Arabidopsis thaliana: one gene and its partners. The protein of the gene in region 1 interacts with the protein of each later gene in a pairwise test. Each region holds a gene or a part of one and is shown on either strand. Other genes may lie near its edges. The genes, in order: AT5G05120, AT1G62975, AT1G58110 and AT2G19260.

What was found.
Region 2: the proteins of AT5G05120 (region 1) and AT1G62975 interact in a two-hybrid assay, tested with the Arabidopsis thaliana proteins (one large-scale study listed by BioGRID).
Region 3: the proteins of AT5G05120 (region 1) and AT1G58110 interact in a two-hybrid assay, tested with the Arabidopsis thaliana proteins (one large-scale study listed by BioGRID).
Region 4: the proteins of AT5G05120 (region 1) and AT2G19260 interact in a two-hybrid assay, tested with the Arabidopsis thaliana proteins (one large-scale study listed by BioGRID).

What each region holds. Positions count from the first base shown.
Region 1 is NC_003076.8:1,508,014-1,514,301, reverse strand, and holds AT5G05120 (C2H2 and C2HC zinc fingers superfamily protein), read right to left. Parts: upstream 3,071-6,288; coding exon 2,465-3,070; downstream 1-2,464. Other genes in the region: AT5G05130 (DNA/RNA helicase protein), read right to left, coding at 1-195, 270-561, 645-2,186; AT5G05113 (uncharacterized protein), read left to right, coding at 4,312-4,569; AT5G05110 (Cystatin/monellin family protein), read left to right, coding at 5,537-5,764, 5,993-6,206.
Region 2 is NC_003070.9:23,324,960-23,332,607, reverse strand, and holds AT1G62975 (basic helix-loop-helix (bHLH) DNA-binding superfamily protein), read right to left. Parts: upstream 3,882-7,648; 5' UTR 3,708-3,881; coding exon 3,390-3,707; intron 2,858-3,389; coding exon 2,456-2,857; coding exon of another isoform or gene 2,432-2,455; exon of another isoform or gene 2,146-2,431; coding exon 2,086-2,145; 3' UTR 1,796-2,085; downstream 1-1,795. Other genes in the region: EXPA18 (expansin A18), read right to left, coding at 168-483, 736-880; AT1G62978 (uncharacterized protein), read left to right, coding at 1,000-1,146; AT1G62970 (Chaperone DnaJ-domain superfamily protein), read right to left, coding at 6,857-7,648.
Region 3 is NC_003070.9:21,512,703-21,520,882, reverse strand, and holds AT1G58110 (Basic-leucine zipper (bZIP) transcription factor family protein), read left to right. Parts: upstream 1-2,612; 5' UTR 2,613-2,866; exon of another isoform or gene 2,867-3,103; intron 3,104-3,496; 5' UTR 3,497-3,508; coding exon 3,509-4,227; intron 4,228-4,318; coding exon 4,319-4,394; intron 4,395-4,497; coding exon 4,498-4,624; intron 4,625-4,761; coding exon 4,762-4,964; 3' UTR 4,965-5,478; downstream 5,479-8,180. Other genes in the region: TCP8 (TCP family transcription factor), read left to right, coding at 6,998-8,180.
Region 4 is NC_003071.7:8,352,319-8,362,027, forward strand, and holds AT2G19260 (RING/FYVE/PHD zinc finger superfamily protein), read left to right. Parts: upstream 1-3,773; 5' UTR 3,774-3,987; exon of another isoform or gene 3,988-4,211; intron 4,212-4,889; 5' UTR 4,890-5,012; coding exon 5,013-6,529; intron 6,530-6,676; coding exon 6,677-6,731; intron 6,732-6,821; coding exon 6,822-6,925; intron 6,926-7,077; coding exon 7,078-7,168; intron 7,169-7,390; coding exon 7,391-7,438; intron 7,439-7,532; coding exon 7,533-7,613; 3' UTR 7,614-7,894; downstream 7,895-9,709. Other genes in the region: AT2G19240 (Ypt/Rab-GAP domain of gyp1p superfamily protein), read right to left, coding at 63-244; AT2G19270 (mitotic checkpoint protein PRCC-carboxy-term protein), read right to left, coding at 8,031-8,195, 8,675-9,589.

The DNA of each region.
Region 1 (6,288 bases):
GGGAGCCACGGCAAAGAGGGCACAATGGTTTACTTCTTTGAAGAGTTTGAAGGATACAAGCCCTGCAAAAGATGTGGGCACATCGAGTGATGATGATGTTTGTTGGTGGCGAAATGCAGATTGGACAGTCAAAATCTTCGCCATCTTGCAATGCTGCAACCAGCTTTTGCAGTAGCTCTGGCTTATCAGTCACATCTGTTTCACAAACGCACAAAGATATAAGCTATGCAACCAGAAGTAAGAATATGTACCGGTTTTGTTATTATTACCTTCTACAGATGTAGAAGTGGTAAAAGATCTTAATTCTGGAGGGCATAGAGACATGTCATCGCAAAGCTGTCTAAGCCGTAAGATTATACTCAAAACTGTTGAGTAGTTGCGCATCAAGCTTCCATTATTTATAAGATTCTGCACAACACCTTTCGCTTCTCCTTCCATGTGATCATATAACTGACGTTCTTCCGGAGAAAGCTCAACATAACAAGTTTCAACAGTCTTAGGCGGTAAACCAATCAAACTCTTTTCTTTTGTTCTTCTTAACGAAATTGTCGCCATTAAAACCTGAAAAGCGTGTCATTAAATAACTTTTCACCAAAGAGCAAAACAAAAAACAGGCAGACATGTAAGTAATGTATTATTATTACCTGCAGACGTGAAAGACCCTTTTTATTCCCTTGGCCAAGCGGGCGTTGTATCAAACTTTGCCAATAACTCTTAATCGAAAATGGCTCAAACCGGAGAAAGGCCATCAAAGAGTACAAATCAAATGAACCATTCTGAATAGGAGTTCCTGTGACAGCCCATCTGCGGGAAGCCTTCAACTTACAAACTACTCGGCTCTGTTGAGCATTTGCATTCTTAATGGTGTGTGCCTCATCAAGAATTATTCTCAGCCACTCCATTTTCTTTACAGGAGAATCTTCCCACGATTCCTCAACAGCTAAAGTGCCGTAAGTAGTCAACACTATGTCATACTTCATAAGCTCATTAACATCGTCTGTCCTTTCGCCACCATGATACATATACACCTTCAAGATTCCCGGTACAGTATGCTCCTCTAACTGTGTTATCCATGCTGAAATCACAGAAGGTGGACAAACGATCAACGTTGTCTTTTGAGACACATTCATGCCAACAACATCATCAGTTTTAAGCTTCTTTCGAGTTACACTTTCACTGCTCTTGCCTCTTCCTCTCTTTTTACCCTTCTTTTCAATCTTGTCTCCTTCACCATCCAAAGGCTCTTCGGTTGGCGTACTGGTGGATGCATTGCCATATCTATCAAAAGCTATCAGGGAAAGCAAAGTAAGGGTCTTACCCAACCCCATATCATCAGCAAACACCCCTCCACGCAAAGGATCAGGCCGCTTATCCGAGCGGTAATTCGTCAAAGTATTCAAAAATTCTCCATCTTTCTCCTCCCAAAACGGAGGCAATTCTCCAGATTTCTCTCTATGGAGTAACCAGCCTAATCCTTCCTTCTGATGAGCAAAAAGTTCAGACTTTATCACTTCCCTAGGTGGCTCAGCCGCTACCAATTTCCCCATTAACTTCACATTCTCATCAACAAGTTTAAAAATCTTATCAACACTCCTCTTATCTCCATTTCCCATCTGTTCCTTAACCACAACAGCCTCAGATAACCCAAACGATGTATCTGACTCCGAAATCAATACTAACCCACCTCTAGAAATCGTCGATTTCACAGTAGAGGACGCTTCTAACTTTGCAAATACATGAATTTGACAAGGGATTCTGTACCTATTGGAGTTAGAACGAGTATTGGGTACAATACCCTCGACGACGATCGTGTGAGAATCAATCATCGGCGCGAGAACGGCTGCTACTGTACGCTCGATGTGACCCACTTGCTCAGATCGCGTGTTGAGTACTCTGATTGCATTATTGTCATATACGTTCAAGGGTTCTCGAACCAGACCCACCATCTCTCGACCGTTGATTCGGCCGGAATAGTACTTTAACCCTACTATGTTCGCGATAACAAACCCTATCAGATAAGACTCCGAAACACAGTCCTGAGATTGCTGCTGTGATGGTTCCACCGGAGATTGGAATTCGTCTTCGTTCGCCATGGGAGAGGAAGAGAAGCGTCGAAGAAACTGAGCCATGGGAGAGGAACGATGACGGAGAGAAGAAGGAGCTCGAAAGTATTTCAAAACCCGCATCCTTTCGAAAGAGTGGTTTTTTTTTTTATATTGGTATCATAAAGTAACTAAAATTGAGATTTGCATCTCAAATTCTTATAAATAGAATTTGACACCCCAAAGTCAGAACAATATCAAGTTTTTATTATTATATGAAATTCAAATGCAAATAACAACCAAGTTTATTACAATGTTCAAGTGCACAAGTACTGATTTGACACAAGCCGATAATACTATGCAAGAAAACAAAGGTGAGGAATGAAAGTTTAAGAAATACTTAAAAGGGAAAGATTACAATTTCACAGTTTGAGTGAGAGAGAAAGGGAAGAACCATCATTTTCTTTCTCAGCATCCATCTCTTCTGTTGCATCATTTGGTTCTTGAGGTTGTGGTTGGGTTTGGGAGCTACCAATGCCAAGGCAAAGATCCAAACATATTGGTGACGATAGTGGTTGAGGTTGAGATTGGGGTAGGAATGGGATCCCGGTAAAGGTCCAATCCTGGTTCATTCCTTGACTTGGGTCACTTTGTAGTCCTGCAAAGCTAGAGCTTGAGGATCCCACATATTGGTTGTAGACCATGGACATCTTGTATGATCTATCAACTTTGTACTGAGGCTGTTCAAATCCCGGTGGGAGTGCGTATTGGTTAGGAAATGAATGATGATACGAATACGAGTACGCGTAAAGATCTGGTTCTGGTCGGTTCAAATGCGCCAAAAATGCTTTTTGTTGTTTTTCGACCTCTCTCTCCTTTCTGTGTGCATTTTGATGACCACCTAATGCTTGTGTTTTATCGAACTTCCTAGGACAATACTTGCATTTGTATATAGGATTCTCTATCGATCCGGTGGCGGAGGCATCGTCGCTAATATCACTAGCGTAATTCGAGTCCGAGGACAACATTTCGTTGTCGATCGGATCGGGCTTTTAGAAATTAGGTTTGATGGCTTGAATATGTTATTGCACCCGGATAGGTATTTAAAGATTTAATACTTTGTATGCACTTTTAATATCAAGGAAAGTTATATGTTGTAATGTTATGATGTTTGAATAAGATAAATGCATATTGATGAAATATGGAAAGGGACTTAGTTATAGAGAAACATGATGAAGAACAAAGACTAACTGAAGTACTTAACAAACTAGTTTATCATTTCGACAACTCACACATAACATGTTTAATTACTATATATATTTGACATTTTACATTTGCCGAATTTGCGTAGTAAATTTGTTTCTGAATTAATACTTGTTGCATTTAGCATATTTAGTCAAAATTAGTTCCAAACATTACTGATTTCCAAAGTGAGTAGGGAGATTTTGGTTTTGCCCTATTAAATTTGAGATATAGTTGAAAACAAAATTATTTAGAAGAGTTTAAAGAGTTAATTAGTAGATCTTAATGTAGTCAACTTTAGAAAACAAGAATTAAAGATTTAATTAGTGTCATTATGTAGTAAACTTTTAGTACATAATTATCTCAACTCTTAAATAAAATATTTACCTTTAAGTTTTCTATTGTTTTCCATTGCTTGCAATTTTATTTATTTTCATATACATCACTTTGGAGGTAATAAAAATAAAATTATTTTCATATCAACATAATGAAAATATATATTAAAAGTAAGTAATTAAACTAAATTTGGCTACCTTTTAATAAGAGTAGAGAAACTGATGGAAGCATTTTACCATCAAATCTATAATGCTGATTCTCACATCAAAAAAGCATTAACTTAATAATTTTACTATGACATATAGCACATTTTCAGACTTTCTTGTGATATACATGGCTTAGTATGACAGATTGGATTAAACTTAAGATAATGAACATCTATGTATAGTCAAGGTTTAAACAAGATATTCAACTCTAACATACCAAATTAAAATCTATATAGTTTCTTAGCTATCTTTTCAGCATTAAAATATACAGATTGGATTAAACTTATGATATTGAACATCTATGTAATCAAGGTTTATAAACTTTGTAAACATTTTTATAAATAGCACATTAATTGGAGATAAGAAGAAAGCTATATGTATTATAATTAGGGTTAGTGAACTTTGAGAGCTTGGATTGACGATGAACTTCCGCCGTATCATTGGTTCTAGTAGCCATCTCTTGAAAAGGGTCTGTACAACGGAGTATGCTCCGACATCGATCAGGGTTGATGTACTTGCGAAGACAAAAGTGGAAAATAGGAGGATGGAGAAGAAGAGAATCATGCATGTTCGAGAAACTGCAATCTCTCACTGAGCCGGAGGGAATAGCGCACACGTTAAACAAGTTGATGAGGATTGAGAAGGAGCACGAATCCGTCACCAGAGAAGATCTGAAGCACGTAGATTGGATGGTGCGACGACCTGTCTTTCCTTCAAAAGCAAAGATATTGATTGGTTATTAGCTACCTGAGAAGGAAAAAGGGGACTATAACACACTTTCAACACATTTCGTAAATCGCAACTGGTACCTGAGGCTGTCCAACACACTTTCGCAACTGAAACTCATGGTTTCTTTGATGGATTGTCTTAATGAATAACTTAACCACGGCTTTCAGATTTTCTCTTTGCCTTTTAAATCTCTCTTGTAATTAGAGGTAAAATCTCTAGTGCAATCTTTTGCATTTTGCAATTTGCGCTTCTGAGTCACCTAGGCTTCTTCCTAGTGCAATTTTTGAAGGGTCACTTGCAGCAATGACCTAGTTCGATAATAAAACGAAGCTTATGACACTGTACTATGGAAAATTAAGAAAGTGCGTCTTTGATCGTTTTGAGTAAATGGTTTTGTTTACATAGAACATATAACATGAAATGGTATAGAACAAAGAAAACATTCTATATTGTTTTATTCATTTAATCTCTATATCAAATTACTAAAAAAACACATTTTTGAACATTTTATATGATTTCTACAATCAAAAATAAAATATTGTAATGATTTGTGTTCTATATAAGAAACAAAATTTTAGATAATAGCCAAATTAACCATACAAAAAACAAAGTAATGTTTGTGTGAACAACCTCTCCACTTCTGCTTCCCAAGACAAATTTGACCAAATGCCAAAGACTGAGCATAAGTACCAAACACATATTGAGAAGCAGCACCAAACTGATCTTTGAGGTTGAGAAAAGAAAACTGATCTTTTGCATATTTTTTTTTCAAAGGATTAACAACATTGATTTAAAATGGGCTTTCAGATGAGTCCATAAAATGGGCTTAAAAATCATATTTAATGGCCCATAATATTTGTTTGCTTCTCTTAAACGGAAAGAGTCTTTAACCGGCGAAAGAAACCACCCTCTGACTGTTAAGAAAATTCTCATCGGCGTTTAGATCAGAAACTTGGGAATCGGAGAAGCTCACTGAGAACAATGGATATGAGACGTGCTTCGATGTGTATGATGTTAATTTGCGTCTCCTTGGTTCTCCTTTCGGGTTTTGGCCAGTTTGTGATCTGCAGTGAAGAAAAAGGAACGTACAACGACAACGTCGTAAAGATGAAGCTTGGTGGATTTAGCGATTCCAAGAACGATTGGAACGGTGGAAAAGAGATCGATGATATTGCACTCTTCGCTGTTCAAGAGCACAACAGACGAGAGGTTTGATTTCCTCCAACCTAATTTGTATATTCTCTGCAATTAGGGTTAGGATTCTAAAACTTTTAGCGTAAATTCAAGTAATTTGCGTGTCTGAGTGTTCTTGATTTATAGTCTGAAGATTAGAGATTAAGGATTTTGTATTAGTATTTAGTGATGAATTTTATGATTTCTCTGTTCACGGTGTTTATCTCTATATGTGGTCTAATAGCTTTTGGATTTTATGCGTAGAATGCTGTTCTTGAGCTTGCTAGAGTATTGAAGGCAACAGAGCAGGTGGTTGCTGGCAAGCTATACCGTCTTACTCTTGAAGTTATTGAAGCTGGTGAGAAAAAGATTTATGAAGCTAAAGTTTGGGTGAAGCCATGGATGAACTTTAAGCAGCTTCAGGAGTTCAAGAATATTATCCCCTCCTTCACTATCTCTGACCTTGGCTTCAAACCAGGTAATCACCGTCTCTGGTTTAGTCACAGCCACCGATTTTTGTGCATAAAACTGTTTCCTTTTCGATCTTTGATCATAACAAG
Region 2 (7,648 bases), on another chromosome or scaffold:
CGACATAATCATATTTTAGCATTTGCAAATGGTGCATTCAAACAAGATATCATTCAAAATATTTGACTATAAATATATATAATTTCACTATGGTTAAGATAAACCATTTCTTTACGTTTTCAATCTACCTCTATAATTGTAATGCTCTAATGAAATGTGAATATTACCTGCGATATGAGACGGGGATGATACCAGCCTTCCAGTTAGCGATCTTCATAAAAGCTGGTTTAGTCAAATCAAAATGGACTCGTGGCGGATTACACCATCCACCATTGTTGGATGCTTGGCCATAATTTGGTGGACATATGTTGGTTGCAGTTACCACGGTGGCTGGTGACCCGTAGTAGCAGTTAGGCGACGACACACACTTTAACTGGAAACATTGACCGCATGCATAACCCTCGTTGAACAGGGCTGTGCTCAGCGCAGTCGTGGCTACCCCGTAGCCGCTGTCATACATGTTACCATAGCCACAAGCCCCACCTGATCGATATACATGGTCATGTTAAAAATTGTCAGTACATTTTAATGATCTTCGAAATTAAAGATTCATGTATTTATAAATAAGCCATAATTGTTTCATCTTGTTTGCATTTTTATGTTATGATATATGATTAGTACATTAAAACATAGAAATGCAAACAAACAATCGTTTCAAATAATATGGAATCGAGTCATATATAGTTTGTGTTCTACTTCTACATACAATACAATGTAGAAGTATATGGACTTTACCCATAGTTGCGCTGCCGGTGTCGTCACCGTAAAAAGTGGCTGAGGCTGTACGCCATGGGGTCCCGGCATATGTAGCCATTGATGTGCCGATCATTGCCATCATCGATAAAATAACCAGGCACTTGCGATACAAATTTTGATCCATTTTTACTCTGTTTTCTTGAGGGCGCCTACTCTTATTATCTCTCTGTAAAGCCAAGTCTTACTAATGCATAAGATCTCATATATATAATGAATACAATGGCTTAAAAAAATTTCCCTGAAATGAAAGGCGAAAAAATTGGTTTCAACGTGAGAAACACTATGAAAGAAGAGTATGAACAAGTAAGTAATGGACGTGCGTTCATGTTTGTTTTGGTCTGTGCCTCCCTTCGCATTCTAATTATTTTATTAGTTAGTTTTACTTTCTAATGTCTTCATATATTTTTCTTTCATTTTTTTTGTTTTGGTCAAATTTATAACAAAAGGTGTCTAGTTGATAACATATCACTTCATTTATTAATCACTGGCAGAATAATGAGATTGCTTCTTTTCTTTTGTTATATTATGAGAGGGAATATGTTTTGACACCACGTATCGTATTCGGACCAAAGACCAATTAGACTATTCTCCACAACCAATTTTCGAACTAGGATAATGTCGACATTCTCCTAAAACTTATAAATCTATTGAAGAATATGATGATATCTAAAGAAAGCTACAAATTATATTTTTTTAATTATTCATTCAAATTTCAAAAATGAACGTACCTAACATGTTAAGATATGATTTTGTTACAAGTTTAGCAAGGTCCCAATTTTTATATCTATCAAAAAAATCACTTGTGACCGATTTTTAAAGGAATGTTAATGGAAAAATTGTTGTCCAATAGGGTATTTTAATCCCAAAGAAATTATTGAGCAAATGACTAATTGATTATCATTTCCATATCTCCAACTAGCCAGTCAAGAATCTCTCATGTTTCTTGTAATTACCACTTTTCCTAAGCTTTTTACTAAGATTGGACTTGCATATGTTTGGAGATGTTTTATCCATATTTTAGAGATTCTATATATACACCCTTGTAACGATCATATATTTTCTATTTAATAATAGTAATTAAAATGAAGTATATCATAATTAGAATGCCAAGAAAAACAAACTTTATTTTACAAAAAAAAAAATGAAAAACAAGCATTAGTTTGTAACATTAATCTAAGCACTCAGAAGTAAGCCGATACACTAAAATAGCATGATCTTAGTATCTAACAACTCAAATAATGCATACATTGAAATTCAGTAAAATTCCAATTTCAAACCACGTAATATTTTCATTTGTCATAGTAACTAATTTTCTTCTTGTACATGGGGCTACATAGTCATTATTTTATCCTTAAGCTCCAAAATATTGATCTGTTTGCCATCCTCCACCTGAAAATTTGAAATGAAATGATGATTAGTGTCAATTTTGTTTTTAGAAAATTAAGGCAAGAAAAGATCAAACACTAAAACTTTTTTTTAGAAAATTAGTAATTTATTTATCTAATTCTAATTTCAGGTAAGTATATTCATTGTATTTTTGATAACCACAAAAGTAGTTTACAAACAGATTATAATTTGTATAGAAATTAGCAAATAAAATGGTATGTGAACTAAAAACTGATATTAGCAACTATGATAGACCCAAAAGTTTGTAAATTCTTGTAACCTTTTCTCTTTATATTTTTAGTAACAATTTTACCTGCGAAACAATGGTGTGCATGAATCTCTGTTGCCGTCTAGCTGAGAGGCAACTAACTACACTGAACCTTTGTTCTTGAGCTAACATTTGAAGAACACTCGAGAGACAAGACTTGTTTCGTCCGAGACAACAACTTATGATGATCTCAACACCAACTAAACAAGGTGTGACCACAACAGTAATGTGTTTGTCTCCTACACATGAGCAGCTTGATGATAGTGTTGATGCTGCTGATGATGATAAACTACTGGTGCATTCCTCTATAGCTGAATGAGTAGTAGTTGTGGCCGATATGACTTTTTTTACCCGATTTCTCTTTTCGTTGAGTTCTTTGATTTTGATTTGTAAGTCTTTGATGTAGTTCACTGCCTGCACGATGTGATCTGATGTCGAGCGTTTACCCTGTATGTTAAATGATATGGTCATGCTTAGAACAACTAACTAGCAATTATTTGATTCAAGAATGTACTTGGATATATTAACTAGTGTTAAGAAAAAAGAATGAACTCATCAGTTTAAGAAGATGTTTCCTTGATGTGGTATCCAAAATTCGAGTATTACACTACGTTGAAAAAAAAAACTATTTGTCAAAATTTCAATTTATATATTTTAGATATTAATACGAATGTGTAAGAGTTTCTAATTCTATGTATAAAGTGGTACCACAATATATATACGAAAGATTTAATTATGTAAAAAAATTGTTTTAAAAGTATATACGAAAGCATGAATGATCGAATAGTTAGTAAAAGCTTTCAAAACTAAGGTTCTCTATATACTTTCCTTTTCAATGGAAAGAAAACTGCTCGCTTGCACTTTAACAAATGAAATGGTTTTGTAAATTAGTATGTAATTAAGGACTATATATAGAGATAAAAATATAAAATATTTCTCAAGCTAATCATAATGAAATATCTCCCACTAGATAACTTACCTGGATATATTGAAATGGCAAGAGAGTTCTTAGTCTTTTGAAAAGAGATGAAACTTCTTGTCTTCTTTGCCTTTCAATGTCTCTATGTTTCATCTTCTTGCTCTCTCGATCATCATCATTTTTGTTGGCTTCATTCGCACCATATGTTATATCACACAAACTTCGTTTCTTATTGCTTCCACCAATTTTGTTTGTGATCGAATGGAAAACATCATTGTTTTGGTATGATATAAACGGAGAAAGAAGAAAAGAATCAGAAAATAGTAATCCATCTTCGTAGGTTGAATCAGGCATAAACAATGAAGGAACACAATCCATTGGAATTTGATATCTATGAGTACTTTTAATTTGGTTTGATTTTTCTTGTAGTGTTGTGACTTTCTGGCTTGTGAGGCTCTTTATACTTGCCTCCAAGATTTGTTTCTTCTCCTCTTTAATTGGACAGATGTGATGATAGGTTAGTGATCGATCTCGAAGAAACTAAAATCTCCACAAAATATGAGTAGTTGGGATTAAATTAAAGATGATAGTAATAATACTATTAAATTAAACTTTGCGCTGTTCATTTAGTGGCCATTTAATAATCACGTCAAATAAGAATGGGAACGTATGTTTTAAATGTGCTTGAACATATACATCTCACCTTCATTACACACCACCTAAGTTTTCAACTCCAATAAATTTCAGCTTCACAATAATTCTTAATCCATGGGTTTCATATAAAAATATATACAGATGTTTACACTTAAACATTCATACAAATGGATATGTTACAAATTCTTATGAAATTTTTGATAATACTATCCTATCTATCTCAACGGAATTGAAAATTCTATTGGACCATCAATTAGTAGGATGGTCGGCAATTTTTTCGACCGGAAACAAGACAACATATGTTGTTCAGAATCTAATACTATGTTAAGTTTCATGGTTCCAACTCAAAGGTTAATAACAAGATTATCTCATATCATTTATATATACTAATCAAGTCATTTCCCTTCTTACTGTTGTAAAAAATTTCTCCACAAAATGTTGAAATGGATTTTATTTTGGTTATTGACTCTTCACTTGAATTTCCAAGCAGTATTCAATTACATATATAAGATATATACAAAATTTAAAGTTTTTTTTTCTGGTCAAAAAATACTCCATCTGTTTTATTATAGTATAATATGATACTTTAGAGATTCTGTTTTTCATTATATATATGATGTTTTACAGATTTCTATGTTAACTGTAAATATATTTGTTTTTAATGGATATTTGTATTTTGCAGTCTTTTATATAATTAATTGAATTTTCTTTAATCAAGTATTAAATGATAGTTGTTAAAGAAAAGATAAATTTCTTAAAGTGTGTGTGTTTTATCTAAAACACCATACTCTCACCATTTATTAATAAGTGCCATATAAGGTTTTGATATAATACATAGAATATTAAGAAAACAAATACTTCCTCTGCTTTAAAGTATTTGTCTTTTAAGGTTTTTGCACATCAATTAAGAAAATAATTAAATTTTATTTTATTTTTACTCAATATATTCTCTAAATGTTTTAATTGGTCAAGATATCAAAACTTTGAGGAAAAAACTGGAATTTTTACCAAACATTTGCCTTAAAGATCTAAAATGACAACGAGACAAAATTTAAGTGGTAAAATGATAAATTAATTAAAACGGAGAGAAGAAACATTTTTTTTTTACTTTTTATCAATATACAAAAAATAACCGTCAATTCACTAAATCAATAGATTCAGTTGTAACTTTGATCAAAAGTCGGCATTACAAATATAAAACAACATTTATTTTAAAACAAAATTTAGTATATATGTAAAATGACACTTAATTTAGAACGTAGGAAGTATATTTTAAAACAAAGAGTACTTAACACAGCTAGAGTTCAGATTTCGGATCTTAGCTGAATATTTGCTTAGCTCGTGCAGCATTGATGGACCAAACTGTATTTCTTCTCTTGGACCAAACATTTACTGTTTTTGAACGAAGACCGAAGATTATTGATTTGTGTCAATTATTAGTATATTGTTGTTGCTACCAATTGTTAATGTCATCTCTTCATCATTTATTTTGAGTAGTTATGTCAAGGTTTCTTGATTTTATTTTCCACATTTAATTGAATATAAGAAGATTGACATGTATTTATTGTATACATGATAAGGTGTAGTTAATTACCATAAATAATTTAATCAAATAAACTTTATTAACTCATTATTTGTGAAATTAATATTATGACTGACTGATTTTTATTTCAAAAACTTTAAATAATTCTTAGTTTTGAGGTTATCGACTTATTATGGCACATGTTTTTTTTTTAATATATTTTCATTACAAATAAAACGAGCCATCAAGTTTAAGTCGGCAGATACAAATTATGTGACAGCTTAGTTGAATTTGAAGTTAAACTTAGACTAAAGAGAAAACACAAATCTTTTGTAAAGGTTTATTAGTATAGTGAAAAGGAGATTAAGTAAGATTCTTGTATTTAATTAATAGTAATGACGCGCAATAATTAAGGAGTGTAATTGCAGATGATAACGTGGACACTCAAAAAACCATTGAATGGTTTGCAATAATTGTTAGTGAAGTAATTAATATATTAAATGTGGTCAGGATTAGGTCTGACATTTTGGTAAATGGGGTCCCTTATTTGCATGTCCATTTTGATCTTCATGCACCTACAGAATCATAGATTTGTATGTGATCAGTGATGACGAATTAGTGATATGGTTTTATGATCATTAACATTGTTTTAATATGATAAATTAAAGATCTATTTTGTTAGTGTCCATTGTCCATATTGATCTTCATGCAACTACAGAATCACAGATTTGTAGGTGATGACGAATTCATGAATGATAATAATATGCGATCATTAAGATGGTTTTAATTTGATAAATTCAATTCTGGTTCAGATCTAAACCGGCAACTCTGAACCGATTAATAATTTCTGAACCAAACTAAATCCAAGTCAAAACTCCAATCTCACCTTTTGTTGTTTCAGTGTTCCACTACATCTCAAAAAAGCCATAACTAAACTATACTTTGTTGGATTGTAATATTGGGCCGTGGATCAACTGGACCAGTTAAGTCCAACATGTTTATGGATTATTCACTTTTCGTTGGTTCTAGCAGTAAGAGAACAAATCCCAGATCAAAACGATTCTTCTGCAAGTTTTTCCAGAAACTACATTAATCCAAAAAGAGGCACCAAAACATTACAAGTTACAGCCACTACTTCTAAACTTAACCCGAATAGCTTAGACCGATCAGACCCAGCCTAAGCAGAACATGGAAACCGCGGAAGCAAGCAACATTACGCTACACCTACACGCCTACACTACATAAACAGAAACTACTACAACTAAAAATACAACAACAGAGCCAGAAATGAAGAACAGAGAGAGCCTTACTGAAGTTGTTCTTTTTCTGTTCCCTACCCGACTGATTTTACTCAATCAACCTCAATTACTTTTTGACGTTTTGGTTTGGTTGTTGCTTTAGCTTTACTCTGCTTCACATTCTTCCTCCTTTTTGTACCATTCATCAGCCAGTCATCATCGTCGTCGTCCTCACTAGGATCAGAACCAATGTATGAATCATCATCTTCTTCTTCGTCGTCATAATAGTATACCTTTGGAGATGGTTTTTTGGGTGCTGATTTGGGTAAATCACTCACTGGGATTTTAGTATGTAAACCAGTGACTGGGATTTTAGTCACCACTTCTGAGAATCCTATTGGATAGAAACCCCAACAGCAATAGTAACTATCTTCTTCGGCAACTGGCGGTGGAGAAGGAACTTTCACTGCCTGGTAAGCTCTCCTGCAGCTCTTAGTTTGGCATTTAAGCACGCTTTCCTCGTAAATGATGGGATACTCGTAAAGCACGTAGCAGTATGGACAAGTAGTCCAGAAACTCGAAACCTCCGGCTCAGAATCGGTTCTTGCAGCCCCGCTCTTGGGAGTCTGTTCTGGAGGTGGGGTTTGGTTAAAAACGTGAGTTGGCTGAGCCACTGGCGCAGGGGCAGGTGGAGAAGGAATAGTCGAGGCTTCTGGAACTGCAGAGGGAGTAGTAGAAACAGGAGGTGACTGGAATGATTGAGTTGAATTGAAGACTGGAGGCAGTGGAGAGAGAGAACTAGAGGCTGCAGGTGGCTGAGAGGGACAGGTTGATTGAAATGTCGGTGGTGGCTGAGACACTGGCAACGGCTTAGAGGTTGTAGGTGGCTGAGATACCGGCATTGG
Region 3 (8,180 bases), on another chromosome or scaffold:
AAAGAGAAGAGAAGAGAAGAGAATAGAGAGCTAAAAGAGAATCAAAAGGAAGTAAGAAGAAGAGAAAGAAGAAAGAAAAAGCTAGCGAGAGAAGAGGCGAGCCTAGCGAGTGCAGAACCTTGCGGCTGTATGATTCCCACCGGTGAGAGAAACGCGGCTACTCTTCAAATTAGACCAAAGAGACATCAACTGCCTCATCCTCTGAATCTCCATTGTGGTTATCAGCTATGACCTCTTTCTTGCTCTCAATCTGCTATTTCATCATTAACGCGCACACACAAAGATATATGTTTTTGTTTTTAATATATGTATGGTAATCAAATGGATCCTCAGATGTTGCTTCCCATTCTTTGGGAAGAGATAAACTCAAGGAAGCAACATATGGGAATGAAAAAGAGAGAGAGAGCAGAAAGAGGTTTTGTTGAATTGATTTTTTGTGGGTTTGATTTCTTGAGGCTTAAGTTTTCTTTGTTTCTCGCAATACATGAGAGAGAGTTAGATTGAAAATATAAAGGGCTTTGCTGTTTTGTTTGAGCCTTTGTTTACGCCATGCCTCTCTCTATTTTAAGATATTTTCCTCTTAATTCATGGGGGATTTTAACTTCTTTTACAAGTAACCTCACCATTATCCTTTATTAGGGTATGTCCACATCAGTGCTAACTCATTTCAGTTCTTAATTGTTTTGACTCTGTTTTTGTGTTGATGAAACAAGAAACTCGTTGCACATTTAGTTAAATCATTTCCTGTAATCATGCTGCCACAATAATATCATAGCTTTGACATAGATCATCTCTAACCGATGATATATCTCTTGTCTACATCTTCCTTAAGCAAATTTGATTATAAATCATGACTTTATCATCGGAAACTCATATAAGGCATGAGTTGATCTTTCTAATACAACAAAATACCAAAGTATTCTTCATCCATTATGATATATAAGCACCACATCCATCAATTAGGCTCCATAAACTTTATATACTAGCTTAGAAGTATCCTACCGACGATAGTCCACAAAATTTTGCTTCTTCGACATACCATAAGCTTATTAATCCACAAATCTGTGACTGTAAGGGTTAATATTTATTAGCCATTGTTTTTTTTTTTGCTAAAGATTTATTAGCCATTGTTGTTGCCCATTTAATTAGTGCTCACATGTAACGATTCATATTTTAACCATAGATGCAAAAGCTTAACACATAAATTTTCGTGGCTAAATTATGTTTTTTTATGAACTGACCTAAAACCCCGAATTACTTGACACGTTTTATATTATTTTTTACGGATAAGGGAAATATTTGTTTTTCTTGTTTATTCATACTAATCTATCACCTTTTCTCAACATGCAATAGTTTTTCTTATAGTGATGGTCTATTTCTCGTCCCACTTAACTTATATAATACATGCAAGCTTCATGAATATGTATAGTTATATATGCAAGGGGCTAAGAATAGTATTAGAACAAATATTGGTCAAGTCTATGATATAGATGTGATTATTATTTATACAAAGTAGATAAACAAGTAGTAATATAAATTATGAAGTGGTTAATGATTAGTTAACACAGTGATTAACAATGGATACTAAACATTCATAAGGTTGTGGAAAGATTGGGGCCGCCACAGACTGGATTGGGAACCAGAGAATTGGATTTAAATAAAAGTTTTATGAGAGACATGTTGGAGAAAAATAGAAATTTGAGATTTCATTTTTGTTTTTGTCATTTTGTGAACTTATAAATATAAAAAAAATGTAATAAAATGACAAGTTGGCCCATGTTGTTGCACTTTAAGTTAGGTAACAGATCAATTCCAACTCACCAATCATTATATAAATAAATGAAATTAATAAATAAATGGCCCATATGCTAAAAACATGATCTTCGACAAAAGATCCTCTTTCATTTTGTGTAGTGTTTATGACGTGTAAATTGTAACTAGATTAATGTCTTTGTCTATCTATGTTCTTTTCTATATTATAACCTTTTTCATAGATAAAACTTTTCATCACGAAAACTTTATAATATGATAAATAATATGAAAAGCAAAACAAATTATGCCATTGCTTGACAAGACAATTCAGCTGCTCTATAGTGCATGTTAATTCTACATATCCACAAAAGATAATATTAATGGTGGGATAATTAAATATCACCTGAAACAAAATTTAAAAGAAAGAACAAGATTTCAAATTCTAGAAAAAACTAAGAAATATATGGAATTACATTCTACAAAAATTAAATAAAAGCAAAACGGAAGACAAAAATTATATACATGATTTCTAACAAAATAATTTATCAAAAGAAATCTTTCGTTCCGAGATAATCAAAATCAACCACGTCGAACAAAAACGAGTCTGTTAACAACTAACAAAATTTCTAATATCGAAACTATAGTACCTCCTAAATAATTTAATCCTACATTTCAATTCCGCCAAAAAAACTCCATAATTATTGAGACAATTACTAAGAAAGCAAATTTTGCAATAAACTAAAAGAAAAAGAAATAGAACTTTTCTACTTTGTCCCAATTCAAATTAGTAGTATTTGAACTTTGAATCAAAAATCCGCGGAAATTAAACATCGGGGTCAAATTATAAAATATTGTAAAGTATTTGAGACTATTTTTAAATACTAAAAGTAAGAAAAACAAAAGGTCTTAAGACAAAAGAGAAGGCTTTTATTTTACTTTTAAGGACTTAAATTCCCCCAAATTTCTCTCTATCACCCTTCTCTTAGTCAATAGAGATTCTTCTTCTCCTTCAACGATAAGACAGAGAAGATCTCCGGTGGAAGAAACAAGCCGGAGTTCTCATTTTCAGCTTCTGTTTTCTGAAATTTCTCCGATTTGGATCTGTCTCCAACTGGTTAGTTTGTTCTTCTTCTTTAAGTTGGAAAGTAGAATCAATTATCAAAACTTGTAATCAGGAAGACGAATCTGTATCTGTCTATCTGATTCTCATAGTTTCTAAAAAAGGAAACTTTCTGATTTTACTTGCCTTTTATAGATTCTTGATATTACAATTTTACTACTTGATGTGTTCACTGTTTGGTTGCTGGAAAATGTGGGAAGATGAAAAAAGCTTATTGATTAACTTGGATGAGTAAGAAAAACTTTGATTAGCTGAAATGAAAAAATGGTTATTTCTTGTAATCGCTTTTATGTGTTTATGTTAATATTAATAAGAAAGCAACTGAATTTGGATGACCTGTTCTGGTCTGGTTGTCTGAATTGGTCAGCTATAGTGTTCTGCTTCAGTGTCAGCTTTATAAAACATTTTAGGCTCTATAGATTTGTTGCATTGATCTGTGTTTGATGTTTTGTTACCAACTTTTTCCTTACTTTATTAGCTTAATTAGGTTTTGGATTGCTTGTTTTGTTCTAAATCTGCTACTGAGTTCTTAGGAGTTAGGCCAAGCTTAAAAAGATTTGATTTTGTGGGTTTTGATGCAATGGTTTAAATAGTCAGATCTATCTTTTACTGTTGTTTTGTCAGGCAAGGGTGACAATGGCTAGCTCCAAGGGATCACAGAGTGTTAGAAACTTGATGTACCCGGGAAAGCATGCTTTGCTCCCACCAAAAATACCGTTTCCTAGTGTATCAGCATCGTATTCCGAGTATATTCCTACTGGTTTGATTGGTTCAAGACATGGTCAGAAGCTTAGTAATGAGAAAACACATCACCAGCGAACTTCCTCCGAGAGCCATTTGGTAGAAGAGCTTCCCTTTTGGCTTGATGATCTTCTCAATGAGCAGCCGGAAAGCCCTGCTCGAAAATGTGGTCATCGGCGTTCATCAAGTGACTCTTACGCTTATCTAGATGTGGCTAATGCTACAAACATAAGTTTGACTCTCCAAAATGATTTCAGTTATAGGAATACTGTTTTATCCACTCAAAGAGGAGTCCAAGAGCTTGACCGGAATAAAAATGCTCAGGATGCTGCCTTCTACTCTGGTGCTAGTTTTCTGAAACAGAAGAGTCGTCAGCGGGATTCTTTGGTGGCAACTGGGGCTTGTCCTTCTTGGTTACCTTTCGCTCGTGAGAACGGTGGCGGAAAAAACTTGGGAGCTTTATATATGTCTCAAGATGCAACAGTAATATCGTCAGAAAGAAAGAACTATGCTGAACCTTTTTCTCATGACCCAAAGATGTTATCTTCTGAGGAAAACAACTCCAATCCTTCGCCTGTGACTTATGAAGCTGACAACACAAAACGAGCCAAACAGTTTGTGATCTCTTTACTCGTTCTTGATTGATGTACCTATTCAAAGCAATATAGAATGATCAGTACTCATTTAGTTTGCTGCTCCCTGCAGGCAATTTGCACAAAGATCACGGGTCCGTAAGCTCCAGTACATATCTGAGCTAGAAAGAAATGTACAGACATTGCAGGTAAGGCTCAAAAAAACTTGCATTCAAAGAGAGAGTAAGTGAAAGATGTAGTAGATTACAATTTGTGCAGCACTGAAGTATGGATTTTATTTTGTGACTATAGGCAGAAGGCTCCAAAGTTTCAGCTGAACTTGATTTTCTCAACCAGAGGAATCTTATTCTGAGTATGGAAAATAAAGCTCTCAAGAAGCGTCTCGAAAGTATAGCTCAGGAGAAGCTTATCAAACAATGTAAGTTTCTCGCAGTTTCTTTTAGGTTCTTAAGGTTCAAACTATAGTCTAGAGTATGAGTTTGTAAGTATTAGCTAGTTATCAAGATTCAACAGTTCTTAAGATTGTATACCTCATGAGTTCTGTCTATTATCCAGTGGAACAAGAAGTGTTGGAAAAGGAGATTGGGAGACTACGAGCGTTGTATCAGCAACAACAACAAACTCAAAAACCATCAGCCAGTCGCGGACGTGCTACTAGCAAAGATCTCGACTCTCAGTTCTCCAGTCTTTCACTGAACACCAAAGATTCCAACTGTAGGCGTGACTCTGTATCTGTGATGGGTCAATTCCACTTTTAGTAAATGTCTCTCTACCCACTGGTTCATTAGAGATCTTAAGGGCCTGGCGACTCAACAAGATCAGACCCTTATCTACCGCCTCACCACAGACGTTTTTAACTCCCCCGTCGTTTCTTTTTTTTTCTTTTCTTATGGTTGACAAGTTAACTCACCAGTGCACCTGGAAATCCTATATTACTTCCAGGAGATGGCTTGCCTGAGGTGGTTTAGTTCGAAGATCAGACACCTGGACTTCATTTATCTGGTGATTGTTGTAGCGACTTGTGTAATATATGGGACGAATATATTCGAACCCGGACTCATCTCTGGAGTTGTACTATGATACCCACTGTTGTATTTTATGTTACTTGTAAAATGGTGCATTCCCTTCGAGTGAATGCTTCATGTAAAGTTGTTGCCATTTTCTGTAGTACTATCCCCAAGCGTCAAAATATTTGATTGCCTCAGATCTGCACTTAATTTATATGCACATTTACAGCTATTTCATTGCTCTTTGTCAAGCCTCTTGAAGGGCCTATATCAACTCAATTGTTATCAGAAAGTAAACTGGTTAGCATTGTTGTCGTTTGGTTTTAGAGGAAACTGAAACGGCTACATTAGAAATGTTTTTGGTAGGCGTGGGCAAAATACCCGAACCCGAAGAACCGAACCGAACCTGACCCTAAAAACCCGATCTGAATTCAAACCCAAAATTTTAAAATACCTAATCAGATCCTAAACTACAAAACCCGAATCCGATCAAGTTTCTGAACATATCTGAAATATATATACATAAAAATAATTTATTAGTAATAATCATATTTACAACAACTATTAAGTGCATAAAATATTAGATTTTGTATATATTTTGGATATTTTACCTACTTTTCGATAGATTCGGATAGAAAATACTCAAGTTTTTTGGAATTTTTTTTGTGTATTTTCAAGTAATTTAAATATATTTTGATACAAAATTTTGAGTTTTGGATATTCCGGATGAACTCGAATCCAAACCAAAAAAACCCGATCTGAATCTGAAATCTTAAAATAACTGAACCGTAAACCCAAAAAGACCCAAATACCCCAACGCCTTACCATATTAAATTAGGAGGAAACCCGTTCATAAATAATTTTTCGGGTTTGGGCCACAACAGACCGGCCCATTTCAACCGGTTCATAAATTCTAAATACTAGAAAATTCCAAATTAGATAAGTTTTTGTCCATCCTTTCTTTGGGATTCTTGACGAGTAACGTTTGATGTCTTTCTTAATTTGGTTGAATGATCAAATTTGTGATCCAAATTCTTACAAACTGATATGTTAATGAATCTATAACCAAAATAACGTCTAAAACAAAAAGCTGTAACGATTTGAAAGTGCATTTTTTCCCAAAACTATATAACTAATTAAAGAATTTAGTGTCATTTATCTAATGGATATACTTTTAACAAAATCTTATAAAACTAAAAATATTTAAGACAAAAGTGAAATGGAGATACGGAGGTGGATTGTAATGAGCTGTCCCCACCTGCAAAAATACGCACGCTTCACTGTCTGAAAGATGCTTATCTCTCTCTTTCTAACTTTCTTAATCCACAAATCTTTTTTAAACCTTTTTTTATTGGTGCTCTAAAATTGGTAAACAATAATGTTGTGATGAAAATAATGTAATTGAAAAATAACATAACTCATATTTGGGTAGAATTTTGATAAAAAAGACTTAAAATAATTGTGAAAAGTTATTTTTCTCCCCTAATTACTTTTTGATTTATATAATAACTAATCAAAAATCAATAAACGTTTTATTTAATGTTAATGACGGCATATATATTATTTATTTTAATAATAATATCCTCTTGCTGGAAAAGTCATCCACCTGCTTTTACATCATCAAACCTTTTTTTCTCTCATCTCTCTCTCTCTCTTCTCGAGACAAAGAAGAAGACAAGAGTCAAACTTGAAGGCGACAATCGGAGCTTCCATGGCCGTTTCTTCCTCTTTCACCAAACCCTAATTTCAATTTCATCTTCTTTTCCCTTCTTTCTCACCGGAAAATGGATCTCTCCGACATCCGAAACAACAACAACGACACCGCCGCCGTCGCCACCGGAGGAGGAGCAAGACAGCTAGTTGACGCATCTCTCTCAATCGTTCCCAGATCTACACCTCCCGAAGACTCAACACTCGCAACAACCTCATCTACGGCAACGGCGACTACAACGAAGCGGTCGACTAAAGACCGTCACACGAAAGTCGACGGAAGAGGACGTCGGATTCGTATGCCGGCGCTATGTGCAGCTAGAGTTTTTCAGTTAACGAGAGAGTTAGGTCATAAATCCGATGGTGAAACTATTGAATGGCTTCTTCAACAAGCTGAGCCAGCTATTGTTGCTGCTACAGGTACAGGAACTATTCCGGCGAACTTCTCTACTTTAAGTGTTTCGTTACGAAGTAGTGGATCGACTCTCTCTGCTCCGCCGTCGAAATCGGTGCCGCTTTACGGTGCTCTTGGATTGACTCATCATCAGTATGATGAACAAGGAGGCGGCGGTGTGTTTGCTGCTCATACGTCGCCGCTTTTAGGGTTTCATCATCAGCTTCAACACCACCAGAACCAGAATCAGAATCAAGATCCGGTGGAAACTATTCCTGAAGGTGAGAATTTCTCTAGGAAACGGTATAGATCGGTTGATTTGTCTAAAGAAAACGATGATCGGAAACAGAACGAGAATAAATCTTTGAAAGAAAGTGAAACGTCGGGTCCTACGGCGGCGCCGATGTGGGCGGTTGCGCCGCCGAGTAGGTCTGGTGCTGGGAACACTTTTTGGATGCTTCCGGTACCGACAACGGCCGGTAATCAAATGGAGAGTAGTAGCAACAATAACACCGCCGCAGGCCACCGTGCTCCTCCTATGTGGCCATTTGTGAACTCTGCTGGAGGAGGAGCGGGAGGTGGAGGCGGAGCAGCGACTCACTTTATGGCGGGAACGGGGTTTAGTTTTCCGATGGATCAGTACAGAGGAAGTCCACTTCAGTTAGGTTCTTTTTTAGCTCAGCCGCAGCCGACTCAGAACTTAGGACTAAGTATGCCGGACTCGAATCTCGGGATGTTAGCCGCTTTGAACTCGGCTTATTCAAGAGGCGGAAACGCAAACGCGAATGCGGAACAAGCGAACAATGCGGTGGAGCATCAAGAGAAGCAGCAACAGAGTGATCATGATGATGATAGTAGAGAGG
Region 4 (9,709 bases), on another chromosome or scaffold:
AGGGTTTTATGAACACACTTCCACAAAAAGAGGAAAATTTACCAAAATTCAGAAATGTTTACCTTCGGCGAGAATTGGCTGCTGCTCTGCGAAATTCATCGATTGAAGAAGCCAAAGACGGAAGAACTCCGAGATTCACACGCCAACGAACTCCTCTTAGATTAGCGAAACGACGATCTTCTCTACTCAAAACCAATGATCCCGACGGTTCTTGCAAAGCTGGTTCGATCTCCGACGGAGCCATATAGCTTAATCCTCTTTTGCTTCTCTATCAATTTTAAGTTAAATCACACAGCTCCGAGGAGATAAATAAGCAAAACTATAACCAAACGATAAACATTGTTAATTCTTCATGAAACTACTTACGATGAATGATGATGAAAATATGAATTTTGTCTGTTGCGTGAGAGATTCCAGGCGCGAAGAGCCGATTGATGAAGAAGAACAAGTAGCTAAATGCTAATTAAATTAAAATTGAATTTTGTCTTGTTCTTTTTGTTAATTGTAACCTAAAAAATGGGTATTAATTATTAAAATAATGTTGAGAAAAAAATCCAAAATTAATTAGAGCACAAAAGAGTCATTCCAGGAATGTTGAGAAAAAAGGTATTAAATATCAGTAATATATTATCACTGAAAAATAAATTATCACTTAATTGAAATACCCTATAATCAGATTTTTCTTTGATAATTAATTAATTGACCATCTTTTTCTCTTTTTGCATAATTAAATTGACCATCTGTTAATTGCCTATGGATTTATTTTTATTTTTATTTTTTTGGGAAACAGTTATTTTCTTTTTTCCAAAGTAAAACCAACAAACAAATTTGAAATATGTCTCAAAAATATAGGGAATGGAATGTAATTTTCATTTCATGAACATAAAACAAATTGAATATAGATTGTTAAATAGAGGGGCTCAAATGTAAAAACGTTAAGAGTTGAACAAAAAGTAAAGTTGAAGGTGACGACGAACCCAAACCCCACAGCTTCGTCAGTCGCCGCCGGTGACTCAACCGACCACGCATGATCGGTAAGTAATTTATCGCAGTTCTGTATCAATTTTTCGATTCAGATGCGAAAAGACTTGATGGCTTCTGGCTTTGCATCAATTTTTGCTCTTTATCATATACACTGCTCAACAACAGTTTCAATATGATCTTTGAACAGTTTACATTACTCTGTATATGTAATGTCTGTGTTTCGTTATATTTTTCTAAATTGACTTGACTTCGTGTGTATCACTACTTTTAAAAAGAGGAATTTGACGTGCGTCTCTGTGTCTGTTTCTCTATATGAGTCTGATATAGAGCTACTACAGATGTTTAATACTCAATATAGTTGAAAGAGAAGGAATCAGCTTTAGGAACCCATGCAAGCCACTTTTAGTTGCAATCTACCAACCTGAAGAAGGTGCTATCCAAGAGTAACCGTGTTGCCATTAATTTAAGGTATTGCTGGAGTGTATGAATCGATGATAAAAAATATTGCCTGGCTCTTTTTGATAATTCTCTGTTCTTTCTCTTTTTAAGAGTTTTGAAGATCCCGTAGCAGCAGTTGGAATTGCTAAACAGTTGCAAGAACACTGTAATGAGGTTTTTAGAATGGTAAAAGAGACAAACAGCAATGAACACTGTAATGTTCCTTCTACTTCTGAGACTTTGTACTCTCCTCTTGGATATATTCAAAGGTGAAGCTAGTCTCCATACTGGTTCTGAAATGTTACTCAATGACAATGTGGATTAGCCTTAAGATGACTCTGAGAATGGTGATTATGATCCTGAAGCGAAGGAAGACGGAAATAGCATTAGTGGCTTGGGAAATGCTAGCGATGAAGATGGCAACATAACTTCAACTAGCTTGAGCTGCTCTTCTATAGGATTCGGCAGCCGTGTTTTAGAAGAACTGTCATACGTACACTTGGAAACAGGGTCCCCTTAGGTGAAACCAACAATGAAGAAATTGTATCCATGCCAAGACAATGGAGAGCAGTGGACTATACTATGTGAGTACTTTTTATTTTAATCCCTTTATTTGTTTACGGGAGAAATACAGTGATTTGCTCAAAAAAAAGCAAAGTAGAAGAAACTCCGTTTTTGAGATTCTCCATAGGACAGTAGTTTACGCATAAAAAAGCATGCCAGTGTTGTTTATTGACTAACCAAGTTGGTAGTAGTATCCAATGGTATGAAGATTCATATGATTTGTCCTCCAATTATTTCGCAAGACTGATAATGCAGTGTGCTAAGTTGTTTCACCCTTTCATGCTCACAATATTAACCACCTTCTCGTTATGTAATGATTCCAGTTTAATTTTTTTGCAACACTATTGGTAAACTGTTATAGCTTATGATTTTCTTGTTTATCATTACTCAGAAACGACTGTCTTTTAGATGAGCAGATTTTTGAAGGCGAAGACTGAGGTCTAAGTAACAGATACAAACTTATAACTATGTGCAACGGTATTAGAGAGACCCGGAAGGAGAAACAACCAAAGAGTAGGAAAGACTCTCCGTAGAAGATGAAGGTATAAGTTCTATTTTTCAGACTTCCTAGTGGGGTTATTATGGTCTAACATCTGCTTCCTATTTTCTAATCTCTTCTGTAGTTTATATAAGATATCTGATTGCTGCGTCTAAAATGTTCTAACTGCTGGCATTATGTAGCTGTAAGTTCATCAGATGTTTGCAAAACCATAAGGGGCATTGTTTTCATAAAATTTGGATTTTGAACTAAAGAAGGTATCCGTGAAAAAGTACTTGTTTCCAATTGTTATAGGTATCCAGCATCCACAGTTAGAACGTGTTAGGCTATAACATCCTCATTCATGTCGCTAATAAACATTGGTTTTTCAGTATTGGTTCTTCATAAAATCTATTGTCGGTAATCATATCCTGAATTCCATTGTCAGGTCAGCAAATGGTGCAACAACATCTGACATTGATGAGTAAGAAGGTGGGCTCTAAGATATTTAAATAAGGTCTCTCTCAACAACCTCACTATTATAAGGCACTCTGAAAATTCTGGGGCTATAGCAATCAACGAGGACAAGACTGAGATTAATCAACTTCGAGATTCTGCAAACGAGACTGCTTCACTCAGCAGGCAAGTGTCTCTTTTTCTTCCTTCAACCGCAGATATTTTTCTTGTTTAACTCTTAGATGCAAGCGAAAAACAGAAGTTGAAATTCGTGATAGCGCTGCTCTCATATTTTTCCTGACCATTGCCATTAGTCTCGCACATGCTTTTCGCAACTTCTAAGATGTCACATCTTTGTCATTGTCTGAGTTTTGATGAGCTTAAAGCAACTTCTAGAAGACAAAGAGACAAGAAGAGGACGAGTTTGAAGCACTAATGGAGAAGCTTTGTTTACACCTGAGGCACTAGCCATTGAGTTTTAGGCAAGTCTTCTTGTTTTACTCCCAAGAGGACTCAATAGCAGAGGCTTTTGAGCTTCTAGGAGAAATGTTGTTATGTTGCAGAATCATATGTATAGTTTTGTATTGTTTGATCCTCTTGGAATAAACAAGTCTAAGTCTTGACACATGTAGCTTTGAACTTTCTGCAACAGTGTAACACCTATGTATGTAATATATAATAAAAATGCCAAATATTTTGTGGTTCTTCATTGTGATTTGGTTAACAAATATTGAATCTGTGAATCTTCTCTACTGATACAGTTCAGATTCAGGGATCAGAATGCAAGAAACTAAAAAAAGAGACCCATTTTACACAAGAACAAAAAATCTGAGCGGTTTAATTATAAATTAGATTTTGAAGTTATATATATAAATTTTTCCACAGGAAAATCAAAGAAAGTTGTTTTGCCAGTGAGTTAGAGAGAGAGAGAGCGATAGAGCGAGAGAGAGAGAGAGCTTGCGTCAGTGGAGGAGTCGGAAACTTGAGAAACTTGTTTAGAAGAAACGCCATAACTTGGAGAAGCCCAAACGAGGATTTTGCTCTTGTGTATCTTCGTAGTCCATCTGGTAAATGCGAGATTGTTCTTCTTGTTACGAAATTGTTTGTTTGTGTATCGCTGTTCATTGTATTGTTTGTTGTTTTGTACTGGATTTGGCTGTGCTTTGTGAGGTATATGAAGGTTTCTGCAATTACTGGAATTGGATTTTGGTGTTTAGTCTCCGATGGTTTGATTGTGTTCTAGGGTTTTCATAAGAACGGAAGTCTGTTTTGTTGTGAATTTCTCAGAAAGGTAAAATTTGTTCAGAGATTGTTGAGATTAAGACTTGAATTTTAGCATAGGAAGAGAAATTTATGTCTAGCTTGAATCTAGGTTGAAGGGTGCATGGTGCTTTAAACGACTGAAAGATTAAGATTTCTCAGAGATTGAGACTTGAATTTTAGAATAGGAAGAGAAATTTGCTTACTTCACAAACGTTTTGTGCAACCTGGATTTAAGATGATATAGATATGTAGCTTGAATCTAGGTTGAAGGGCGCATGGGTTTCCAGATTCGAGTCACTTTAGATCCGAATTTTTGTAGTTTTCTAAACTTGGGTGCTGAATTTGGATCTGAATAGCATCCAAGAACATCCTGGATTACTAACTTACTGAGGATTAAAGGTTTTTCTGAATGGAAAGTTTGCATTTTATCACTAGTTAGGAATCCGATTTGTTTTTCTCAGTGAGACTTGGAGATGATGAGAACAGTATGTGTCCGCTTAATGCAGTACCACAAAATTATTCAATCACGAATCAGGAGAGCAACCTTTTGAGCGCCTGATAAGTTACTGGAGTTAGTTTAAAACAATGGGTGAAATTGATCCAAATTAGTGATCAGAAGATAACTTACTGTTTCTTCGTTATGGTACTCATGGACTTGGTTTTCTTGCATTTTGACTCTGTTCCATGTTTTGCTTTCGACATTTAGGTGATCAGAAGGATATGAGCATTACCATTCCAGAGGGACTACATGAAGAAGTCGACCAACAGATTCATTGGTACTTAGAGAAGTAATGTGCTTTCAGATACTTTTTTGGTTTCTCAGGAAAACATGTTGGTGGAAAGTTCGTTCAGCTCTTCTGTTGAAACTAGTCTACTGAACGTATCCGAGTATCAAGACCCATTTGCTGCATATGATTGGACGTCTCTTGCTGAATCTTATCAGATGATCCACAAAGTTCCCGAACAGTCTCAAGTAAGCTTTCTTAAAAATGTTCCAGTCACTGATACTATGAATCTTGATGAATCAAAACATCCAAAACATCAAGAAAGTTGTTCAGAGAAATCTGTTATGCATAAGGTATCGGGAAAGGCTCTGACTTCTCTTGTGTATCGTCGAAGGAAGAGGACCTTAATACCTGGGGGAACTGAGGAACATAACCTAGGAAAAATCAGGAAACAGGATGATTCTCTTGATGACTCTATTGTCTCTTTATATAACCCTGAAGAAAGCACAAAAAGGAAAAATCGCTTCAACAACTGTCTTGTCTATAGCCGGAAAAAAAGGAGAGGGGAATCCAGTTGTACTTTTACTGGAGAAACTACGATAAGGGGTGATGGGCTTGATGATGCTTTTGTTTCTGAGCATGACTGTGGAGAAACCAGGAGAAGAGGCAATCGATCAGATGATTGCCTTGTGTATAGCAGGAAGAAAGGTAGAGTGAAATTTAATAGTTGTAGTTTTAGCAAACATGTCACTGGACGAACCAAGATAAGCTATGATCAAGCTGACTCTTCTGCATGTAGCCAAATGGGACAGATAGTTAAAGCTGATAGTTCTTTAACTAGACCTAAGCCTGGAGAAATCAAGAAAAGTGGTCATCAACTTGTTTACAGCCAAAGAAAGCAGTTAGTGAAATCTAATGGGAGCTTTACTGAAAGTCATGTTGGAAAAACCAAGAGAAATGGAGATAGATCTGAGGTCTTACTTACGTATAGCCGGAGGAAGAAGAGTGGGAAATCTATTGGTGTTCGGGTTAATGGCTTTCTAGTTTATACCCGGAAGAAGTTAAAATTCAGAGGACCTTTTGCTAGACGTGACCTAAGCGAAACCAAGAAAAATGGTGATCAACGTTCTACTGTCAGTTCTCGAGAACTTTTAGACGATACCCAAGTTACCGAAGTGACATGTTCTTCTGATGGAACAAATGACAGCTGCTCCTCATTGAAATCCAGTTCTGAAGTTAATTCAACTTCTAGTAAATCTCGGGAAGATGATTGCTATTCCTCTGATTCTGGGGTGTCTGAGACAGATACAGATGGTAGTAGCAGCCCTTTCAGGCAGTGTAAACATTGTGATAAGCCAGGAACTGTCGAAAAGATGCTAATTTGTGATGAATGTGAAGAAGCATATCATACACGCTGCTGCGGTGTTCAAATGAAAGACGTTGCAGAGATAGATGAGTGGCTCTGTCCATCCTGTTTGAAAAATCAGTCATCAAAGACCAAGACTAAGGGGAGAATTTCACATGAACGGAAATGGAGAGTTACAGTACCATTTGTAATAGGAATTAGAATAGGAAAAATGTTTCAAGCAGATGTTCCAGACTGGTCAGGTCCAACAATGAGGTATGCACTTTGATATTCAACAGTCCTTTGAACTATTGTAATATCAAAGATTTCGGTCAACTGGCAAATAAGTGTTGTTCCTTTCACTAAAATGAATGGCTTTGTTTTATTTGGTTGACATACAAAAGCTTTTTGATCTCAATGCAGTGATACTTCTTTTGTGGGTGAACCATTGGAAATTGGCCAGTCAGAATACATGCATGTAAGCTCTCAGTATAGTGGATAAGCATAAGTTTATGTTGCCATAGAATTAGCTGGATTTCAGATAGCTGCCATCCTTCTCTCTTTGCAGGATCTCAAGAAGGCCAAGAATAGTAAGAAACAATGTTCTGCAGTGAATTGGCTTCAATGCAGAGAAGAAGATACTAATGGAGTTATCTGCGGAAAGTGGCGTAGGTAAGTTAAACAATTTTGCAAGTTCCATTATTTGGTTCATGCTCTCGTCTTGAATGTAACTTACTTTCTATCGCCTTTTCATCAGACTTCTTACCAATTACCAATACCTTCTTCCTTGTCTAAATATGCTTAATTTGACTGGATATACACAGGGCCCCTCGTTCAGAGGTACAAACCAAAGACTGGGAATGCTTCTGCTGCTTCTCTTGGGATCCATCACGTGCTGACTGTGCCGTCCCTCAGGTCAGAAACTCTCTTTACAACTATCTTATTTCCCCCAAAGAAAAATCCTTCCGAGGATGAAAAGTTAGCAGCCGTGAGAGGATGAAAAGCATTGAAAATTATTGAACCGTCTTGCTTCATCTTTCTCCATGAACATGTCATCTGTATTCTTGAACAGATATCTTAATACTCCTAAAAGAGCCATCGAAGTTTATACAATGCATCTTGTGTTCATTTCTGCAGGAACTGGAGACAAGTGAGATCCTTAAACAACTCAAGTACATCAAGATGGTTCGTTATTTTTCTCATTACTTGTTTGATCTTTCCCGACCATATTCCTTTCTGATCAAGGATCTAAAACTGAAACGGTCGGTTTCCTCTGCAGCTTAGACCTCGATCAGACGCCAAAAAGCGAAAACTAGGACCAAAGGGTCGAAGCAGATCACATATCAAAGGAAAATCTTGATGGACACAATCAAAATGCATATGCTTTTGGATTAGAGAGACCTTAGAAACTAGAAAGGTAACATCAGAAATTTTTTGTGAAGCGCCAATGCTTTTTGTACTACTTGAGGATATCAAGTTGCTTTCTAAGTGACTAATTAGGTTCAGATCTTTTGTTAGCTCCCAAAACAGGAGTAGTGAATAGAACGTTTGTGTTAAGGGACAGGTTCTGGGTTAAATGTGAGATTCATCTTGAATGCAACAAAATCTATAATCAGCTTCCGGGTCAAAGCATTCTGCTGAGATTAGATTCATTCACGGAAATGAGTATTACATTCAAAGCTTGGATCTTGGAAAATAGTAAAAGAAAAAAATTACACTCTGAGTTACAGAAAATCTGTTGCAAATTTCACAAATTGAGAAAAACAATAGCGGCAAATCACCATCCGTATTTAGCTTGTGTCTCGGCTTTCGTGAGCAATCCTCTAGAACGTCTCTCTGTCAACTCCGACTCCTTGTGCTTCATGTCCATGAACAACGCAGTGATTTGATGCTTCCTCTTGTGAAGCTTTGACACTTTCCCTTTAGATGAAGATGTTACCGGCTGCAAGACAAATTTGAACAAAGACATCATTTAAAAAGCAATACAAAGCAGTCAAGTATATTTTCAGTGAAGAACACATAATAAAATTGGTATGATAATCAAAGTATCTCTTTTCCTATAAATCCACAAAGAAGTTTATCAGCAAAACAGAAAGAACTTGACAACAGAAGCCCCAAACAAGAGATAATCTTCAACTCATATTCAACTCATATGCTCTCTAATGAAAATCTCCTACCAGCAAAGGGTTTAGATATACAGAACCAGAGAATGAGAATAATAAGAGACATTAGAGACAAGACAACACCCAAGTTATTGCAAATAAATTTCGCAAGAAAAAACTTGACAATGGCAGCCACAAACAGGAGACAAATTCACAACGCTCTATACTCTATAGTGTTACCAGTTCAGGCTTTTCTAAAGACAATTCCTAAGTTCTTGCAGCCAAAAACGAGTAAGAAGAGTTTAGAGAGTAAACAAACCTGATACGCAGGTCCAAAGGCGATTCCAGTAGATTTAACCTGATCAACTCGTGGCCTATTCTTCATAAGCTCATCTTGCTTAACCTCAACAATCTCTGGCATCTGATTCCTCCCTCTCCTTCCTCTCCTCGCACCACTATCCATAGCTACAACCGCTTCAGGCAATCCCGTCATTGCCTCAAACCCACCACCATTCCAAGTATTACCTCCATAGCTACTACCATCATATCCCACACTACTACCACTAGGAATTGTTTCGTATCCACCATCATAACCAGTAGCATAATAGTTATCTACTCCAACGATTTGTTCCGTTTCGCTATTACTATGACTAAACGATTCATAGCTCTGGTTTTGTTGATCACTAATACCTGAATCCGTTTGAGGAAATGCAATTGAAGGTGTTTCTGTTTCGAGATTCGATCTTCGACCTGATCCTGATCCCAATGAAGGAAGAGCACCTAGTGTTTGTGAGCTTTTAGGTGCAGGCATGGCGGATAAGAACGATCTTACTGATGAATCGTGAGATGCGGAAGCAGATTCCATCTGTTTACGCTTCTTCCTAGCTTTCTCTTCTTCTTCGTCGTCTTCGTCGTCAAGATTGCTCGGTCTAGGGTTTACTGGAAGCCTGATCTGGACGACACGTTTCGGAATTGACGACGGATTGGGATTTTTTTTCCGTGAAATTGAGGATTTGGGAGGAGGGAGAGATGAGAGGAAAGAAGAAGATTTTCCTCGAGAGGAAGATGAGCCTAAATCACCATCTTCGGAGGATTTGAGTTCTTTAGGTTGAGGAATAGCTGAGAATAGAGACGAAGCGGAAGGTTCTGAGGATTTTACAGTGAAAGCTTCTCGACGTGGTTGAAGATCTTCTTCTTCGTCCGACGAAGCGTAGCTCGCTACCAGAGAGTCCATTGCAGAGAGAGAGAGAGAGAGAGAGAGAGAGAGGAAGACTTAGCCGTCGCCGAGATATGTCGGAGTATTTGTCTTATTTATATGGGCTTTTTCAGGAGAGATTTAAGACCCATTTAAAAG